Oryctolagus cuniculus: one gene and its partners. The protein of the gene in region 1 binds, or shares a complex with, the protein of each later gene. Links are inferred from orthologs where the notes say so. Each region holds a gene or a part of one and is shown in the gene's direction. Other genes may lie near its edges.

What was found.
Region 2: POLD1 (region 1) and POLD2 share a complex: the UniProt entries of both Homo sapiens proteins name them as parts of the tetrameric DNA polymerase delta complex. The link is inferred for Oryctolagus cuniculus from reciprocal best matches to the Homo sapiens genes POLD1 and POLD2.
Region 3: POLD1 (region 1) and POLD4 share a complex: the UniProt entries of both Homo sapiens proteins name them as parts of the tetrameric DNA polymerase delta complex. The link is inferred for Oryctolagus cuniculus from reciprocal best matches to the Homo sapiens genes POLD1 and POLD4.

What each region holds. Positions count from the first base shown.
Region 1 is NC_091449.1:7,468,063-7,474,678, reverse strand, and holds the start of POLD1 (DNA polymerase delta catalytic subunit), read left to right. Parts: upstream 1-2,825; 5' UTR 2,826-2,916; intron 2,917-6,616. Other genes in the region: NR1H2 (oxysterols receptor LXR-beta), read left to right, coding at 783-991, 1,280-1,426. UniProt on the Homo sapiens protein: As the catalytic component of the trimeric (Pol-delta3 complex) and tetrameric DNA polymerase delta complexes (Pol-delta4 complex), plays a crucial role in high fidelity genome replication, including in lagging strand synthesis, and repair.
Region 2 is NC_091447.1:51,599,377-51,605,864, reverse strand, and holds the start of POLD2 (DNA polymerase delta subunit 2), read left to right. Parts: upstream 1-1,994; 5' UTR 1,995-2,320; intron 2,321-2,624; exon of another isoform or gene 2,625-2,693; intron 2,694-2,810; 5' UTR 2,811-2,836; coding exon 2,837-3,056; intron 3,057-5,687; coding exon 5,688-5,809; intron 5,810-5,952; coding exon 5,953-6,076; intron 6,077-6,357; coding exon 6,358-6,472; intron 6,473-6,488. Other genes in the region: Friend virus susceptibility protein 1, read right to left, coding at 1-924. UniProt on the Homo sapiens protein: Accessory component of both the DNA polymerase delta complex and the DNA polymerase zeta complex.
Region 3 is NC_091432.1:4,678,363-4,684,126, forward strand, and holds POLD4 (DNA polymerase delta subunit 4), read left to right. Parts: upstream 1-2,986; 5' UTR 2,987-3,203; coding exon 3,204-3,300; intron 3,301-3,490; coding exon 3,491-3,580; intron 3,581-3,737; coding exon 3,738-3,849; intron 3,850-4,086; coding exon 4,087-4,111; 3' UTR 4,112-4,489; downstream 4,490-5,764. UniProt on the Homo sapiens protein: As a component of the tetrameric DNA polymerase delta complex (Pol-delta4), plays a role in high fidelity genome replication and repair.

The sequences.
Region 1 (6,616 bases):
CTTTCCCTCCCTGACCCCCATCCTCCACCACCCAGGACAGACCTGGTGCCCCAGTGAGTTTGCGCAGATCAGGGCAGGACCGCGGGGAGCCCGGGGTTGGGGAGCAGTGGGGGGCCGGGGAGCAGTGGGGGGCCGGGGAGCAGTGGGGGGTCGGGGAGCAGTGGGGGGCCGGGTGTGAGGACGGCCCAGGCAGCTGGGGCAGAGCGGGAGGCCCACTCCCCACGCCTTTCTCTGCCACGGCCCAGTCAGGCGTCCGTCCTCCCCCTTGGACCACTCAGGAAGCCCCTCCCCCCTCCCGATGAGTCTGCCCAGCAGCCACACCCACGCCAGCTCCCCTCCGCCCACTGTGGGAGCTGTCCGCGGCTCCTTCCTCGGGGCCTCTGGCAGGCCGAACACCGCAGCCTGCTGCCTGGCCGGGCCCTCAGGTCCCGGTCACCTGCCGGCGTGGCCACGGGCCTCTCGGCTGTCCCAGTCACCCGTCCGTGTGTTCTGGCAGGCCGCGGCTCTGCCCGGCGTGTCTGTCGCCTGGACCCTACCCCCGGCCGAGGCCCCGGGGACTCAGGGACACGGATGGATGGCTCCCTCCCGGCCTGCGGGGTGCAGTGGACCCCCGGGGTGATGCCATGTGACCCAGCTCCCACGCGTGTCCCTCTGCCCTGGTGTCCACGCAGGAAGGCAGGGTGCTGGCGACAGAGCGGAGTGTTCCCAGGAAACGTTCCGCGAGCCGGGACACGGGGAGCAGTGACAGGCGCGTGACACTGCTGCGGTCTGCCCGCCCCCAGGCCTGCAGGTGGAGTTCATCAACCCCATCTTCGAGTTCTCGCGGGCCATGCGGCGCCTGGGGCTGGACGACGCCGAGTACGCCCTCCTCATCGCCATCAACATCTTCTCGGCCGACCGGCCCAACGTGCAGGAGCCGGGCCGCGTGGAGGCGCTGCAGCAGCCCTACGTGGAGGCCCTGCTCTCCTACACGCGCATCAAGAGGCCGCAAGTACGGCCGGGCCCCGGGAGGCCTGCGGCGCGGGGGTGGGGGTGGGGGGCGGCTGACTCGGCCCCCCCGCCCCCCACCGCTGACTCCGCCTCCGCCCCAGCTGACTCCGCCCACCGCCCCTCCGTGCCCCCTGCTGACCCCGCCTCCGCCCCAGCTGACTCTGCTCACCGCCCCCCCCTCCGCTGACTCGGCCCCCCGCCCACCCCCGCTGACTCGCCCACTGCCCCCCGCCCCCCGCTGACTCCGCCTCCGCCCGCTGACTCCGCCCACCGCCCTGTCCGCCCGCAGGACCAGCTCCGCTTCCCGCGCATGCTGATGAAGCTGGTGAGCCTGCGCACGCTGAGCTCCGTGCACTCGGAGCAGGTCTTCGCCCTGCGACTCCAGGACAAGAAGCTGCCGCCCCTGCTGTCCGAGATCTGGGATGTGCACGAGTGACGAGTGACGCCGGCGCACCCCGCCCCGCAGCCGCGCCCCGCCGCCCCCGCCTCCCTCCTCTGGGTGGGAGGGGCCCGGGCTGGGCCCCTGGGCCTACCTGGCGGCCTGGAGCAAGGCCCAGGCCCCTGCAGCCCTGGACCAGCCCCAGCGAGTCTTCCAGGAGGGGGCGGGGCTCAGGCCTCCAGCTCTGGCCCTGCCAGCCGCCCTCCCCGCCCGCTTACCCCTCACCACCACTGCGCAGTGCACCTTGAACAGAGGGGGCGGGCCCGAGGCCCCCCCGCAGCCTGACGCCACGGCCCCTCCTCCTCTGAGCCTTTTATTTAATAAAAACTAAAATCAGCAAACACAGGGAAAGTAGATACAAGCCAGCCCCGCGCCCGCGTGTGAGACGCCGACAGGGGTGGGCTGAGGGGCTGCAGGGCCGCGGGGCTCCAGCGGGCAGGACCAGGGCTGACCCCGGGCTGCGGGGCTCCAGCGGGCAGGACCAGGGCGGGCCCCGGGCTGCGGGGCTCCGGCGGGCAGGACCAGGGCGGGCCCCGGGCTGCGGGGCTCCGGCGGGCAGGACCAGGGCGGACCCCGGGCTGCGGGGCTGCGGGGCTGCAGGGCTGGCTCTGGCGGGAGGCCCAGGAGTTGGTGAGGGAACCCTTGCGTGGCCAGCACGCACCGGGAGGCCTTTGGTGGGCGCTGCGCCAGCCGTCCCAGATGTCAAACGACTTGGGGCCCCGGAACCACCGCTGAGGCACGTGGAGTTCGCTCCTCTGGGCCGAACTGGACAGTGGACGGACAGACGCCGCGGGGGCAGCACATAGCGGCTTCGGCCACGCCTTCCGGGGGACCAGGACCGGGGGCTGGGCCTGAGCCGAGCGAGCGCACACGGGCTGGAAGAGCGCGGACGGCCCGCGTGCCGGCCCCGCGGGGACGCCGGACGCTCGCGGGCGGCCTGGGGTGATGTGCCGGATGCTGGAAGTTGTATTACTTGGGGCGCGGGATGGTTACAGCGATCCCCCTATTCCAAGCAGCCTACTCCGACACTAGTGTACCACTGGGCAAACCGGTCGGCACTCGTCTCGCCTCCGCCAGCGCGCGCGAGGCAGCTGGGCGTCACCCCGCCCGCCCACCAGCGGGCAGCGCCCGGCTCGACCTCCCGACGTGGCCGCGGGCCGGGAAGCGGATGGAGTGCGCGCAGCGCCCGAGGGCGGGAGGCGGGACCGAGTGGGATGGGGCGAGGCACGCTGCGCGCGTGCGCAGAAAGCAAGCGGCGGAGCGAGCGGGCCCTCGGGGGCGTGTCTTTGCTCCGCTACGTCACGGCGGGGCGGGAGTTGGAGATCCAAGGAGCGAGGCCGCTTCCCTATCGGAGAGGAGGGGCGTGGCCTCGCCCGCACGTGGGTAGGGGCGTGGCCAGCACGGCGCGCGCTGTCTCTGGGCTTGCGCGCGCCGGAGTCAGGGGTCACGGCGGCGTAGGCTGTGGCGGGAAACCGTGTTTGAAGGCTGTGAGTACTGGAGACCGGGAATCGGGGGCACTCGGGACGGGGACTCGAGTAGCCTGGAACACGGGCCTGAGGAGAGGGACCCGCGGAGGGCGCGCGGGCGGGGGCGCGCGGGAGAGGGGCTGGGGCCGGGGGTCTCCGCGGACGCACGCGCCGGGCGCGGGGCGGGAGGCCCCCGGGGCTGTGCGGCGCCCCGGGGAGCCTGGGGTCGCCCTCTCCGCTCCCTGAGTGTGTGAGGGGCGTCGCGGGCCGGGCGCCGTGCTAGGAGCGGGAGCCGCGGCGCCGGTTCGCCCTCCCTGGGGCAGCGGCCTTGGAGGGTCGAGGTCGGCTTGGATCCGGGCACAGCGCCTCCCCTGCCACGGCCCCGCGTGTTTGTAGCTGCGGGCTGAAAGGCTAGGGGTGGGGTTCGGGTTTAGGTCGGGGTCCACCCAGGAGCCGTGGGCGGGGGGCCTCTGCAAGGCTCGCTGGCTGCCCCGGGGAGATCGGGGGTGTAGCGGGTGGAGGCATGGCGGGTGGCTTGGGCCTGGCGTGGGGGGCAGCGGACAGGGTGGGCGATGGCAGGTGGGCTCAGCCAGGCCGGCCGTGGGGGTGACCCCTGGCCCCTGGGTTTGCAGAATGGATGGGGGAGGCTGAGAGGGAGGCAGGCTTGGGGGCACCGCGGTGAAGGCAGAGCCTGGATGGGCAGGGGGTGGGCAGAGGGGCTGAGTGGGAGCCCCTGGCCTTGGGTCTGGGATTCCCAGGCGGAGCGAGCGTTTGTCCCGAGGGGAGGAGAAGTTGGGGTGACCCCAGGAGTTGTTGGAACCGCAGTTTGCCGAAGTGGGGGAGAGAGCGGGGTGGGGTGTGCGGAGGAGATTCTGGGGCGATGGGGAGCCGGGCTTTGGAGTTGTCAGCACGCAGCTGGCCTTGGGCCCTGGGACCCTGCCCCTGCCCTGCTGTGTCGTCAGAGTTGTGGGGGGAGCCCAGCGCCCGCAAAGCCCGGTCCTGGGCCCGCGCAGACAGGGGACCCGCGGCCTCTCCCAGCTGCCTCCACTGGGCCCCCACACCTCCTTCCTGCCTCTGCGTCCCACAGATCTGGCAGCCCCCCTCCCCCCGCAGAGCCCCTCGGCTTCCCCTGCCCAACCCCGGGCGGGACTCCCTCCCTGCCTGCTCCCCTGCGGCTGGTGGGAAGCCGGACCCCAGCCTTCTCCTGGCCTGCGCTGGTTCTCGCCGGACACCGTCGGGTAGAAGCACCCTTCACACGGACCCGGTGTGCACGTGTTCGTGGCGGCCAGCAGGGGGACACACAGCGTGGAAACAGTGGGAGCCCTTCACGGGTTGTGGAGCTGTGTCCGTGTAGGGGAGGCCCTGTGTCCAGGCGGGGGGCGGGTGTTCTGGGTGTCTGGGCAGGGGGAGCTGTGTGTCTAGGCAGGGGGGTCTTGGGTGTCCGTGCAGGGGAAGCCATGTATGTCCAGGCGAGGGGGGGGGGTCCCAGGTGCCCCTGCAGGGGCAGCCGTGTGTGTCCAGGCGGGGTGGGGGGGGGGTCCCGGGTGTGTGTGCAGGGGCAGCCATGTGTGTCCATGGAGGGGGGTCCCAGGTGTCCGTGCAGGGGGTCCTGTGTGTCTGCAGGGGGACAGGAAGCCCGGACCTGCAGCTGGGTGGTTGTACTTGAACACGTGGAGTGGAAGAAGCCGGAGGGGGCTGGGTGTGCCCCTTTCCCCGCGGGCCACGCTCCGCGGACCGTAGAGATAGGTCGCAGCTTCTCGGGTTGGTGGTGGGTGGGGGTGGAAGTGCCCTCGCGTTGGTGTGGTCCTGGCTGCACCACCCTGGGGACTTCAGGCCGCGGCCCAGTGCCCTAAGCGGGTGGGTGGGCTGTGTACTAAGAATTCCACCTCGGTAAAACCGTTGCAGACGCAGCTGCCGTCCCGTGCGACTGGTCTCCCATCAGACGTCCGCGGAGCCTGCCCCACTGCCACTGTGCGCGGTTTGAACCCACGGAGGGGGCGACGTGCCCCTGCCAGGGTGCCGGGCTCCGGCTTCCTGCTCTCAGGGACCCCGGGAGGCAGCGTGCTGGGGAGGTCCCACGCGGGGCACCGGGATCGAATCCTGCGGGCGTCTGGGGAGCGACCAGCCGGCAGGGAGCCTCTCTGAAATAAAAATAAAGCCCCACAGAGGACTCCCACAGCGCGCCGGGAGCAGCCGCGTTCCCTTTGCCGGGTTCTGCCCGAGGCCGGCGTGGTGCGCGCATGCGCGCTCGCTCTCTTCCCCGGTTTGGCTGCGCCGTTTCAAAGCCTTGGCCACGGGGTGGGTGTGGCGGCTCAGCAGGGTAAGCCCCCCTGGGACGCCTGCACCCCGCGGCAGAGAGCCGGGGGTCGAGCCCGAGCTGACCAGCTGCAGCAGCCCGCGGCTCACGTGCTTGGGCCCTGCCACCCCCGAGAGAGACTCGGATGGGGCGCGCGCGCCCGTCTCCCCCGACTCATCCACAGCTTTCCTGTGCAGGCATCTGGGGACGGGCCAGCGGGTGGAAGATCTCCCCTCCTTTCAAGTAAATTTAGTAGTAGTCGTGGTTCTCCCATAGACCCCCAGAGGCATCTCGGGCCGAGGCCTGAGGTCCAGCTCAGTCACCTCCGCCAGGCCAGGCGGCCGCCCGGGGTCCCCCGCTGTGGTGTCCAGTCCCACGCGGGGTTCCCGCCCCAGGCCCGGGTGCCAGCTCCGCGCTGGGCTTGCCTGAGCCGCTGGCGCCCGGCGAGCGCCTCCCTCGGGGCTTCTCCCGCCAAGGTGCGCTCGGAGCGCGCCCCCGTGCGCCGGGCTCGGCCTGCAGAACAGCTGCCCTGGCCGCCCTCCTGGGTCCCGGGTCCAGCCGTGGGCCTCCACGGGCCGCGCTGGCTGGTTAAGTCCCGGAGAAGGACAGTTAGGTGGTTTCCAGCCTTTGCGACTTCCAGCCTCCGGAAGTGGCCTCTGCAAAGCAGGTTTTCACAGGTGAGGGCGGCAGCAGGCCTGCGTGCGGAGCCGCGGCCTCTGCGCCCAGGGTTTTGCGCTTTATTTTTGGAGAGAGATCGTCCATCTGCTGCTTCACTCAAATGTCCACAGTGGCCAGCGCCGGGCCAGACTGAAGCCAGGAGCCTGGAGCTGCATCCGGGCCTCCCACGTGGGTGGCCAGATCCGACCACTTGGGCCATCTGCTGCTGCCTTCCCCGGCTGTTTTAGCGGGGAGTTGGAGCAGCCGGGACTCGAACCAGCGTTCCATGGGATGCTGGCGCCCCAGGCATCGGTTTCATCCTCTGCGCCGCTGCAGCGCCGCCCCGTGGCTCTGAGCTACACTTCCGGCACGCAGAAAGCTCACTGGGACCCCGCCTCGGTCAGCCTCACCGGGCAGCCTCACCGGGCAGCGGCCGCGCTGTGCAGTGGGCCGGGCCCCTCGTGCCTGGCGCCTGCCGCACCTGCTCCGCAGCGCCGGGGTCCCTGCTGTGCCACCCGCAGGCACTGCAGGAGCCCGTCCCCGCCCCCGTAACCATGCAGAGGTTGCCAAGGGGCCCGGGTCACCCACCTCCCTCAGCCGACGGCGCCCTCCCCACTGCGCAGGCGCACGCGCTCTGCGGGACTCGGGCCGGGGTCCCCCGCACAGCCATGGCGGGGGCGCAGCTCCGCCTGAGCTGCCGCAGGAGCGTCCGCAGGTGTCTCCGTGGGCCCGTGACAACGCGCACGCTCACGGATAGCAGTTTCTGTC
Region 2 (6,488 bases), on another chromosome or scaffold:
CTTCTGCTTGTACAAAGCGGAAAACTCCAGCAGTTCCTTCGGGCTGTAGCGCGCCTTCTCACGGCTTCTCACGGCCTCAGGGGCCTGCCGAGAACCGGGGCCAGCTACCTGTCTGCAGGACAAGAGGGGTGACGCGGCGGGGTCCTGAGGCGCCTCAGCCTGGCTCTGCCTGGCGGCTGCTCCAGGAGAAGCCATGCCCACTTCCTCGGGCGACGCAGAACTGACGCCCTCCGCCGCCGCCGCCGGGGCGGGGGAAGCCGCGAGTGGGGATGCGGGGACCACGCTGGGGGGCGGGAGGCCCAGTTCCACTGGCAAGCAAGCCTCCTCGGCATTTAGGGGCTCGGCGTCCGCAGCTTCGTCCAGCTCCTCCCACACGTCGCCGTCCCAGCGTACGGGATCCCACTCTTTGCCGACCAGCGCTCTGACTTTCACGGCAGACACCCTGCGAGGCCGCGAGTTCAGCTTCCGCTGCAATTCCGCCAGCCGCACGATGAGGGCTTGGGCTTGGTTCTCCGCCACCTCCGCCCTGTGGCTACAGGAGAGGAGACTCTGGCCCAGGACGCTCTTGGAAACCCTGAGGTCGTTGACGCGGAGCTGCAGCCGGTAAACCTCGTCCCTGAGTTCGTCTCTGTCTCTCACCACCCTGTCCAGCGAGGACAGGAGCAGCCAGCCAGCGTCCCTGTGCTCCCTGGTTCCCCACAGGAGCTGGAAGGTCCCATGGACGGAGTCACCGAGTTCCTGGCCTCCCTCGAGCGGTGACTCGGGAGAGTCCACCGCGTTTATCCTGCACATCTCTAAGAATAGCTCCCGCCACGGATTGCAGGTGCTGTCCGCACCGTCGGAAGGAGAATCCTTTGCGTCTTTAGGTCTAACCATATTACACAGCCAATTCCAGAAGCCCCAAAGCCAATGAAGGAAACCCATCTTAGAATTCGGAACCACTCCTGAGACCCAAGTCGGTGCTGCAGTTCCGGGGAGAGAGAGAGAGAGAGAGAGCGCGAGCGAGCAAGACCCCGCGGGAAATGTATAAGGTATCTGACAGGAGAGCGGTCAGCGGCGGGCGGCGTGGCTCACGTGGCACAGGTCCACTGCAACGTGGGGCGCCGGCAGCGTGGCTCCCAGTCTGAAGGCCTCCGAGCCCGGAAGGTAACGGCGTCACTCTTAGCCCACGGCTGACGGCCAGGGGAGCGCGGACCGTGCTGGAGCCCAGGGTCAGCGCGGCTGCAGTTCCGACGCCCAGCGCGTGTCTCGGGCCTGCTGGGGTAGAAGGAGAGAGATCAACCCGTCTCGTGTTTATTTCCTCTCGGCCTGCCCCGCCTGGCCGTCCACTGGGCATCGCAAGACAGCCCCTCTGCAAACACCCTCACAGACCCCCGCAACGCAAGGCCTCTGCGCACTCCTTAAGCGAGCCAGGCTGGCACCTAAGTCAGCCACCACAAGGACACGACAAGAGTCCACCGTGTCTGGGGCCGGGCCTGGCGGGAGGAGCGGGAAGGCAAGGACCCGCCACGCCTCTCGCCCAACTCGCTGCCCGCCCTACAGAGCAACCGCCCTCTTCCAGGTCCACGTTACCCTCACTTGGGCTCAGGTCACCGTTCTGCAGAGACAGCCGGAAATCAAGCGCTTGGCCAGCAGGACCAGCCTGCGGGGAACCCGGGCAGTGCCCACCCTGCACGGTGCAGGCCACCCGCGCGGACCCAGCCTCCTGGGTTCCGGGCACGCGCATGCGCACGGACGAGCATGGGCCTGTCCGTCCCGGCCCCGCCTCCCGTCGCCTGGGAAACCGGGGGCGTGGCTCCGCGCGGCGCGGTGAGTGAGAAGCGCGGGGGCCGGCGGGATGCAGCGGGCGCTGTGGGGCCGACCCGGGCGGAGACCGATTGGTGAGATGCGGCCGCGGACGGGGAGCGCTGGATGGCGATTGGCGGAGTGAGGCAATGAATGGGGCGGGGCTGGCGGCGATTGGCTGGCTACGGCGATGGGCGGGGCGGGCGCGCGGGGGTCGGCGGGATGCGGCGCGCCGCTTGGTGAGGGTTTTCCGGTGAAGCGGTGTCTTGGCGGGCCGCGGGTGCGAGCTCGAGAGTCGGGGACGTCCCGCCGCTGCCGCGCAGCGCTGCTCTCGGGGGCCGGCCGCGGGTGCTCGGGGGTCGCTCCTGGAAAGCCCGCGTCCCGGCCCCGCGCTGTCCAGCGGGCCGCGGGGCCCTGACCCGTCGCGGAGCCGCGCCCAGGCGGTGAGTAGCCGGTGTCCAGAGGCGCTGCTCGCTCCGGGGAGTCGGCCTGTGGCGCTCCGCGGGCGCCAGGTGTCCGTGCGGGTTGCTGGGAGGTGCGTGCCGAGCCAGAGGGCCGAGGTGTGGTTCGGGGTGGGCAGCGGGAGGTGCCCGCGAGCGCGGACCGGGGCGAGCGCGCGCGGGCGCGGGCGCAGGTGCAGCGAGAGGATCCGGAGGCGGGGAGCGCGTGGCACGGGCCGTGGTGAGGCCTGGGCGCTCGGCGCGGCCCGTGGCCGGTGTGTGTCACCGTGGCGATGGTGGTTATTTAGCAATAGCGCGTGCTTCTGGGGTGGGCTCGCGCCCTGGGCTGGGGCAGGTGCAGGGGGCTGGGGAGGCGCGGGTCAGGGATTCCGTTCGCGAGCCTGGCAGGCGGCCTGGGGGTGTGAAGCCGGCAGGGGTCACTCGGGTCCGGGGTTCAGCCGCACTCCGGTGGGAGAGGCTCCCTTGCTCCCTGCCGGGACTGTCCGGTCTGGCCCCCGGAGGCGGTGCGGGCAGCCGCGTTTGGCACCGGGCGAGGGTGGCAGGGATGCCTTTGTGTGCCCACAGGACCCCTCCTCGGCCGGGACGCAGCCATGTTTTCCGAGCAGGCCGCCCAGCGTGCCCACACGCTGCTGTCCCCTCCGTCCGCCAACAACGCCACCTTCGCCCGGGTGCCCGTGGCCACCTACACCAACGCGTCGCAGCCTTTCCGCCTGGGCGAGCGCAACTTCAACCGGCAGTACGCGCACATTTACGCCACGCGCCTCAGCCAGATGAGACCCTTCCTGGTGAGCCGGGCCCGGCAGCGCTGGGGTGAGTGTGGGCGCGCGCGGCTCCAGGTTTCCCCGATCGGTCCCATTTGTGAGTTACCTGGGAACGCTAGCCCGTCCCTCGCGGCGTCCTCACGTAACCAGGACTGGTGTAAGACCTGTGGTGTGAGGTGGAGGCCAGAGGCTGCTCCCAGGTCAGGGTGGAGCACTGAGAGCCGTTGTTGCGGTGGGGGGAATGGTTTAGGTGCAGGGCACTCCACCGTTCGCCCATGCCCGAGCGCGGCTGGCCTGGCACCGGAGCCACCGGCGGCGGGGCCCCTCCGTTTCTGCTTCCTGCCGCCCAGCGGCCGTGACTCCCCTGACCCTCAGCATTCTGTCTTTCCAAATAAAGACCCGGGCTGTGCAAGCTGTTTTCTCGTCCCCGTCTCTTCCCCGGTGGGCTCTCCTACCCCTCGATGCCCTGGGGGTGAGACAGGACCCGGCCTCTCACTCCCGACTCTGGTGGTGCCCCGTTACCCCAGCTGTGGGACTGGCACACGGCCGCTGTTCCTGATGCATCTCCGAGACGGTCATCATGAGACCGTGTCTTACCCAGGCCGGGTGGGTCTTGGGCCAGCCTGCCCCAGGGTCAGTCTGCCCCTGGCCCGCGCCCTCCCTGGGGTCAGTCTCCCCCAACACAGTATCTCCCCCTGGCCCACCCCGGGGTCAGTCTGCCCCTGGCCCGCGCCCTCTCTGGGGTCCGTCTGCCCTGGCCTGGCCTGTGCCCTCTCTGTGGTCGGTCTGCCCTGGCCTGTGCCCTCTCCGGGGTTGGTCTGCCCTGGCCTGTGCCCTCCCTGGAGTCGGTCTGCCCTGGCCTGTGCCCTCCCTGGGGTCAGTCTGCCCTGACCCACGCCCTCTCTGGGGTCGGTCTGCCCTGGCCTGTGCCCTCCCTGGGGTCAGTCTGCCCTGGTCCGCCCCCTCTCTGGGGTCGGTCTGCCCTGGCCTGTGCCCTCCCTGGGGTCAGTCTGCCCTGGCCCGCGCCCTCTCTGGGGTCGGTCTGCCCTGGCCTGTGCCCTCCCTGGGGTCAGTCTGCCCTGGCCCGCCCCCTCTCTGGGGTCGGTCTGCCCTGGCCTGTGCCCTCCCTGGGGTCAGTCTGCCCTGGTCCGCCCCCTCTCTGGGGTCGGTCTGCCCTGGCCTGTGCCCTCCCTGGGGTCAGTCTGCCCTGGTCCGCCCCCTCTCTGGGGTCGGTCTGCCCTGGCCTGTGCCCTCCCTGGGGTCAGTCTGCCCTGGCCCGCGCCCTCTTTCAGGGGTCAGTCTGCCCTGGCCTGTGCCTTCCTTGGGGTCTGTCTGCCCCTGGCCTGCACCCTCTCAGGGGTCAGTCTGCCCTGGCCTGTGCCCTCCCCGGGGTCACTCTGCCCCTGGCCCGTGCCCTCCCTGGCCTTTGCCCTCCCTGGGGTCAGTCTGCCCCTGGCCTGCACCCTCTCCAGGGTTGGTCTCCCTTTGGCCTGTGCCCTCCCGGGGGTCTGTCTGCCCCTGGCCTGTACCCTCCTTGGGGTCTGTCTGCCCCTGGCCTGTGCCCTCCCGGGGGTCTGTCTGCCCCTGGCCTGCGCCCTCTCTGGCGTCTGTCTGCCCCTGGCCTGCCCTGGGGTTGGTCTGCCCTGGCCTGCGCCCTCTCCAGGGTCAGCCTGCCCTGGCCCATGCCCTCCCCGGAGTCTTGTCTCCTCACCTCGGTTTCCTGTCCTTCTATCACCGTCACCGTGACTCTCTGGGGCCTCCCCGTGTTTTCTGCTCAGCCTTGCACTTCTCACAGTGGTCAGTTGCTGATTAGTCATTGGTGCATCAGCTAATGTCTCTCCGCCTCCCACACAGGGCTCAGAGAGGCCAAGGGCCGGCCAGTTTCATCCATCCTCAGTGTTGGCACTCGCACATAACGGGGTGTGTGTGTATGTGTGTGTGGCCCGCCCGTGTCCTTCTGGCTGGTGCTCGGGCACAGCTTGAGTCCAGCTGTGTGACCCTGGACATGTTCCCTGACCTCTCTGAGCGCTGTCTGCTGCTGGCACAGGGTCAGGGTTGGCCGAGTTGCGTGTACAGTGCTTAGACGGGGCTGCCTGGGGATCTGGGATCTGTTTGCATGGGTGTGTGGCATTCTGTGGGGCCCACCTCGCCCTTGTTTGAGTTACCTCCCTCTGCTCCCCAGGCTGTAGCTCAGGAATGTTCTTGGCGAGAGGACTGGGCTGTGCGGGGTCTGTTCCAAGAGATCCACGGGCCTTGGGGACTTGCGGGCCTTCCTCTGCCCGCCCTCACTCCCCGCCTTCCTCCTGAGCCAGCCAGTGCCCTCGTGGGCTCACTGGGTGAGCAGGGCTGCCTGACTCCACGGGAACGGGACTGGGGTCTGAACCTGGGGGACCTCTCCAGAGGAAGAAGCGTTTGGCAGGAGAATCCTGACTCCACAGGACAGTTGTAACATCGGTGTCTCTTTCTCAGGATGGCGTCCCAGCTGGGGTAGGGCGGAGTAACACTGAGTGGCTCCGTGGCTGCTGGGAACGGACGCCTCCCTCCCCGCTCGCGGCGCTGCTAGGGCCTGGGCCTTACTCATGCGGCCTCTCCTCTGCCTCTCACGAGGACACCCGGCGTCCCCGGGGCTGGCCCCCTTCGCTGGCGTGCCCGCGTCTGAGTCTGTGCCCCCGCCCCCCAGGCAGTGGCACCGAGGTGAAGAAGCTGTGTGAGCTGCAGTCCGGAGAGCAGTGCTGCGTGGTGGGCACTCTCTTCAAGGCCATGCCCCTGCAGCCCTCCATCCTGCGCGAGATCAGCGAGGAGGTGAGACCGTGGCACGCAGAGCCGGACACAGCTCACGTCTGCCCACAGGAAGGTGGTGCGGTGGGCAGGCAGGTCCAGACGGATGCGGGCTGCGGTGTCCTTGGGTGGCTCAGCCCCACGTGGCTTCCGTTTCTGTATTCCAGCACAACCTGCTCCCGCAGCCGCCTCGGAGCAAGTACATCCACCCCGATGACCAGCTGGTCTTGGAGGACGAATTGCAGCGAATCAAACTGAAGGGCACCATTGACGTGTCAAAGCTGGTCACAGGTGGGGAGCCGGGTTCTGCGGGAGCCCGGGGAAGGAACTGTGGGGCCTAACTGCGGAGGGGGTGGTGCTGGGGGTGTGGCCCTTGCGTGACGGCTGGCATGTGTGGGCAGGAGGAGGCCAGCGGTAGGTGAGACTCAGCTGGGACATCAGTGTCCCTGGTCCCACCCAGAGGCAGTGGCTCCAGGAAGTAGACATTGGACCTGGAGTCACGAGAGAATTCACCAGTGTGGCTGAGGGACGTCTGTCACCGTGGGTGACATGGGAACAACTGGGCCCCCCAGGGACGGTCCTGGCGGTGCTGGGCTCCGTGAAGGACGATGGCAAGTTTCTGGTGGAGGACCACTGCTTTGCCGACCTGGCTCCACAGAAGCCCGCGCCACCCCTTGACACGGACAGGTGAGGGGCTGCCCTT
Region 3 (5,764 bases), on another chromosome or scaffold:
TTGCCCAGACTCTAGTTCAGAGGTCGCCGCCAGGCCCCTCCCCAACTTGCCCCATCTCCTAGGCCGGGCTCATGGGGGAGGGTGGGAACCGTTAACTAGGACCTTCCTCCCAGTCGTCCCAGCTGGACAAAGTCTGACACCTGGTGGCCAGGGTGAGGAATGGCCGAAGGGCCTCTGCAAACCTGCCCAGAACTTCTCTAGAGCCAGCATGGCCCAGAAGGGGGGGTGACCCGAGGAGGTGGGGGGACAGGGCAGAGGATAAATCAGATGGGCGGAGCCCCTTCCTCCTCTAGGCTCCTTCCCCTTAAGCCTGCTAAGCCAAGAACTTGGACCAAGGGGAGGAGGGGTGTTCGGGAGGGTAGAGGGCTGGGAGGACGGGCCCCAGGCCGAGGCGTCCTATCTCCTGTGCCGGCCCCCTCTCCAGCTCAGGGTGGGTGGCAGGGCCCAGGGGCCAGAGGAAGGCAGGCACTGGGGAGAAGGCAGAGCTGGACGCAGCCCACAGCCTGCCAGGCTCCAGCCGGCTGCTCCCCTCCCTCCGCTGCACCGTGCCGAGCCAGGCCTCATCCCCCGCCCCCTCGGAGCCCTCAGCGGTGGGCCTCAGCCCTCAGGAGAGTGCTGGGCTCCTGCTCCCGTTCTTTTCTCTGCGGGGCTTCCTGGTCCTGCCCCTGAAGCAAAGGCCTGGGATGCTCCCGGGCCAAGGTTCAAAGGTCACCACCAGCATCTTGGTGTCAAGACCGGCACAAGGAAGCTATGTCCCAACTCAGACCTCTGGCCGGCCCTCCAGCCCAAAGCCAGAGCCTCGACAGGCTCCAGGATGAGGTGGTAGGAGGCTGATGGCGCTAGGGAGGAGAGGGCCTGAGGCTGCAGTGCCCCTTAGTGGTCCAGACACGGAGTAGGGGGAGACCAGCGGGACAAGAGTGGTCCCCACCCCCGGGGTGCCAATGCCACCCTGGGGTGCGACCCCACTGTTCCCGGAGCAGGAGAGGAGGGAAGGCCTTCGGGGGAGGGGGCTCCCTCAGCTCCAGCCGATGCCGGCACGCGACCTGCCCACTAGGACGCTCTTCCTGGAGCTGAGGGGCACGGAAGTCCCTGGGCGACATCTTCCTGACTGGGTGGGCGAGGTTGGCAAGGCCCGAGCCGGGCGGAGCCGGGGGCGACTGGCAGGAACGGTGCCCACAGTGCCCACAGAGCAGGTCAGGGTGCCTGAGGCTGCCAGAGCAGAGAGACGAGGCCCAGGCACAGCAGGAGCCGCTGTGGCCTCCCAGCGGCACACCCCATTTCACGCTCCCTGGGCGGTGGCAGGGCCCCACGGCTATCAGCTTTCAGGGGTGGGAGGGACCAGGAATGAGGAGGGGTCTGCCCCACCCATGACTCCCACTCCTTCAGGCCTTTGTGGGCTCGGGAGGTGGACGCCACATGTCTCTGAGAACAGCCCGGGAGCCCCTCGTCGAGGCCCCGGGGTCTGGGCGCCACCTCTCCAGGGAATGCTCAGTGCCCCACTGGACTCCGCTCCAGGCCCCCGCTGCCCTCCCCGGATGTGCCCGGGAGGGAGGTGGGCAGTGACAGCGGGACACAGGGCAGGGCCCCCTAGCCCTGCACTGCTTCCCTCTGAGGAAGATGAAGGGAGAACCGGCAGGAGGCGGCCCCGGAAGACAGGCTAGTCCTCTGCTTCCCCTCTGGGAAGCACTCTCCTCCTGGGTCTCTGTGTGTACCGGGGCCCAGCCCGCTTCCTGACCCGGAGCACCGGGCCCGCGCACTGGGAAAGAGGCCAGCAGAGGCCCCCAGCAGGCGCCAACCCTCACAGCCCTGGAGGGAAGGACCGGATGGGCGCCCCGGCTCGAGGGTGATCAGGGCCGGGCTGTCTCTGTGCTGGTTCCCAGCCTCCCACTGGCCAGCACTTTGCCTGCTGCCAGGAAATTGGTGAGGGGGAGGCGGGAGTAGGGGTGAGTCAGCAGTGACAGGAGCCCAGGGGACAAAGGTCACGGGTGGGGGATTGAGAGCCACTGTGTACCAGAGCCTACCTCCTCCAGGAGGCCTCCTGACACCAACTGCACTGTGGACCCACCCCACGCCTGTCCTCCGTCTTCCAACGGCACCCCCTCTGCCCTGGGGACCTGGGGCGCAGGGAGGGGCTGTGGTCCAACAGGGGTCCCCGCAATGCCAGTCTATCGGCAGGGATAATAATTTATCCATACTGCCTACTTTCAAAAACCCTTGCCATCTGCTTAAACGGAGTTGCTGTGGGGATGGTTAGAGCGGTCCCTGCAACACAGCGCACGCTGCGCTGTGAGCGTTTTCTGCTCCCAGGCACGATGCTGCAAGACGGTGCAGGTCTGGCTGGGAAGAACTGGGGACCCAGAGGCCCCGTGAGAGACCCCAGCTCTGGCCTCAGGCTACCCAGGGGACCTTCCTGACCACTAGGGTGAGCAGAGGCAGGCTTCGGACCCCAGGAGAGCCGACAGGGCCACGCGCGGCCTCCACCAGCAGTGTGGGCAGTGTCTGGGCACAGGCTGTGAGAAAGGAGCTGTCAGAGCCCAAGGCCCCCACCAGCGCTCCTGGGGCGGGTGGGAGCAGGGCAGGGGGCTGGATTAGCCCAAACTCTCTTCGGACCTCCAGACCTGCCCCCACAACGCTCGGGTCCAAGGCCCCGGAGAGGAAGGTTCCAGATGGGCTCTGGGGAGTTACAAACCCGACACGGGGATTAGTGAGGCTGAAAAGAACATTTGCCTAGGAAGGCAAAACGGGAAGTGAGAGGCCCAGGATAACGCTCCGTGCGTCCCCGGGGACCCACGGAGACCAATGGGGGGCGGGAGGAGGTGGTGAAGTCTGGGGCATCTTGACAGGTCCCCACCCCTCCCGAACCCCTCCTCCCCCAGAGCACAGCTGCAGCAGCTGCCCCGCCCCTCGCCCTGCGCCGCGCGCCATTGGCTGGGGCCCGGGCCCCGCCCCACAGCGGCGGCCTGCCATTGGCTTCGGTCTTTGCTATTTGCGTGTTTGTGGGGGCGGGGGGCAGGCGTCATCCCCTGGAACCAGGCGACTTCCTCTCGGGCTTGTCTGGGTCATCTCGTCTGCCCGTCGCTGGCCCCATCTCGCTCTCTGGCCACGACTCTCTCGCGCTCTCCCCTAGCAGCTGTCTCTCTCGCGCCCGCTGGCCTGTCTCTTCGTCCCCGCGGTCACCTTCTCCGCCTGCCTGGGTGGCCACCATGGGCCGGAAGCAGCTCATCACTGACTCCTACCCTGTTGTGAAGCGGGGGGAGGGGCCTGCCGGGCACTGCAAGGGGGAGCTGGCACGAGAGCTAGGTCTCTGAAGCGCGGGGGAGGTCGGAGGAGTGGACAGCAGGGGCCGGAGAGGACGTGGGCGGGGGCAGATGGAAGGGGAAGCGTAGCACGTCCTCTCCTTCCGGCTGACAGGGCTGGCCGCCGGGTGGCAGAGGCAGAGAGCCGCTGAGGAGGGCTGCGGGCACCCGCCTGAGGAGCAGTGTCATTGCAGGGGAGGAGCCCCGGCCCCCCGGCGGGGAGGAAGCCGTGCTGGAGCTGCTGCGGCAGTTTGACCTGGCCTGGCAGTACGGGCCCTGCACAGGTGAGCGCCGCCCTGTCTCCCCGCCTGCCTCGCCTGCCTCTCGGGCGCCTGCGCCCGGCCCTGGGGTCTCAGGACGCGGCGCCTCGGCGCGCATTATCTGGGTGTGCCGGACTCTTCCTGCGCCCCATGAGGCCCGGGTCTCCTGCCTGCCCCTCAGGGATCACCCGTCTGCAGCGCTGGCACCGGGCAGAGCAGATGGGCTTGGAGCCGCCACCAGAGGTGCTCCAGCTGCTGAAGGCCCACCCAGGAGACCCCCGCTTCCAGTACAGGTCAGAGACAGGCTCGGGGCTTTTGGGTACCACCCGATGGGGAGGCTGCCCTGACCGAGGGGGCGTGGATGCAGGTTTGGGGGTTATGTTTTAATAATTCTCTCTCTGAGCTACTGGGGGAAGGGGTGACCCCAGGCCCCCCGGTTCTGTCTGCAGTACTGAGGGTCTGCCCGCATCAGACCGAGGGGCCTCACTGACTGTCTCTCTCTCTCTCTGGCAAATCCCCCGTCTACACAGCCTCTGGCACTTCTACCCCCTCTGAGGCATCAGCTGAGCCCTGCTGCCGCTGGCACTCCCGCCAGCCGCCCGAGAGCCTCAGGACAGAGCCATCGCCACCTGCACCTGCTGCTGCGTAGCTCAGCTCCACTGTGGAGGAGCGCTTGGAGGGCTCCGGTCCTCCATCCAGCCCCCACCCCACCCCCAGGGCGAGCTCCTGCAGGAAGTGCTGTCCGCAGGACGAGGACCTGGCCAGGGCCCTTCCAATGCCTTCCTCAACCAGGCAGAGCCGGACGCAGGCTGGCGACCTCGGAGGCCGGAGTGCACACCCGACCTCAGGCTGGGGAGCGGAGGGCAGGACTGGCTGAGTTCTCAGGGCAAGGGGTTCATGCACACTTATCAATAAAGAACACTGGAATCCTGACCTCCATTCCTTTAACGTGGCCCGGCCTTGGCTGGCAGGCCCCAGCAAGCTCCGAGGTGGGAGACAGCCAGCACCAGGCCTCACCTTTCCTCCCGCTTGAGCGGGAGGGGAGACACCCAGACAGAACCACGGAGCCCGCACTCTGCGCTCTCTGGCGCCCTCTGGTGGTGCACGAGAACTACTCTAGTCATCATCGGGGACCAGCCAGGGAAAACCTGCCTGCGCTACTGCCACCCAGCCAGCCCCATGTTGCCGGAGGAGGGTCCGGGGGCCAGACGGACCTACACGTTCCCACCAAGCACCTCTGCTTCCCTCACCAGGGTCGACCAGGAGCCACCGCAAGGCTGGGGAGGTCTTACCTTGCAGGACCTGCTCAGACATGGCCACCTGGGGCTCTGGAAGGGAACCCACAGTGCTGGGGACAGAGGGAGCTGGCTGGGGACGGGGTAACGCGGAGGAGACCCGGGTCAGGGTGTGACGTGGAGGGTGCAGTGGCTCCCCTCTCTGGCAGTCCTGTCCCAGCCCCGCAGGGACTCCTAGACACAGGCCAGGACAGGCCTCCGGGGCTTAGTGCCACCTTCCTGAGCACTGCCCGCGTTGCAGGGACTTCAAGTGCACAGTGTTCAGAGAGGTCAAGTGAAGATCCCCAAAGCACCCAGCAGGAAGGTGGCCAGGCAGGCCATGACCTTGCCCCGTGCCGGGCACCAAAGGTCTTGGGTGTTTATGAACAGTGGGGAGGTGGACAAGGCGGAGCACAGAGGTGCTGTCCCAGAGAGCCGGGGCAGAGGGCCCGCGGCAGCACTGGACAGAAGCCTGGAAGGAGTAGGGGCACCAGGTTGCACCCACAGCAGTGTTCCAGACGAAGGGACGGCAAACAGGAAAGCCCCGTGGCAGAAGCATGCCCCATGTGTTCCAGGAACAGGTGGAGGCGAGTGTAGCCAGGGAGGGCAGTGCCGAGTGAGGCCAGGCAGCGGGCAGGCCGGTGCCACAGGGCCTTGGGGCCATGGCAGGAAATCTGGGTTTTATTCTGGGAGGGGAAGGCGTCGGAGGGCTCGAGGCCAGTCAGTGACATCATGACACTGATGTTTTGGAAGCATTCCTCTGGCTGCTGGTCGAGAGCAGGTTGTGGAGCTGGGAGAAGACAGGTGGCGGCCGCACTCGGGAGGCTGCTGGAGTCGGCCTGGTGACGGTGACGGTGACCTGGGCCAGGGTGCGGGAGGGGCAGAGCCGCGAAGAAGCGCCAGGTCCTCTCCCTTCCGGAGGGAGAATGGACAG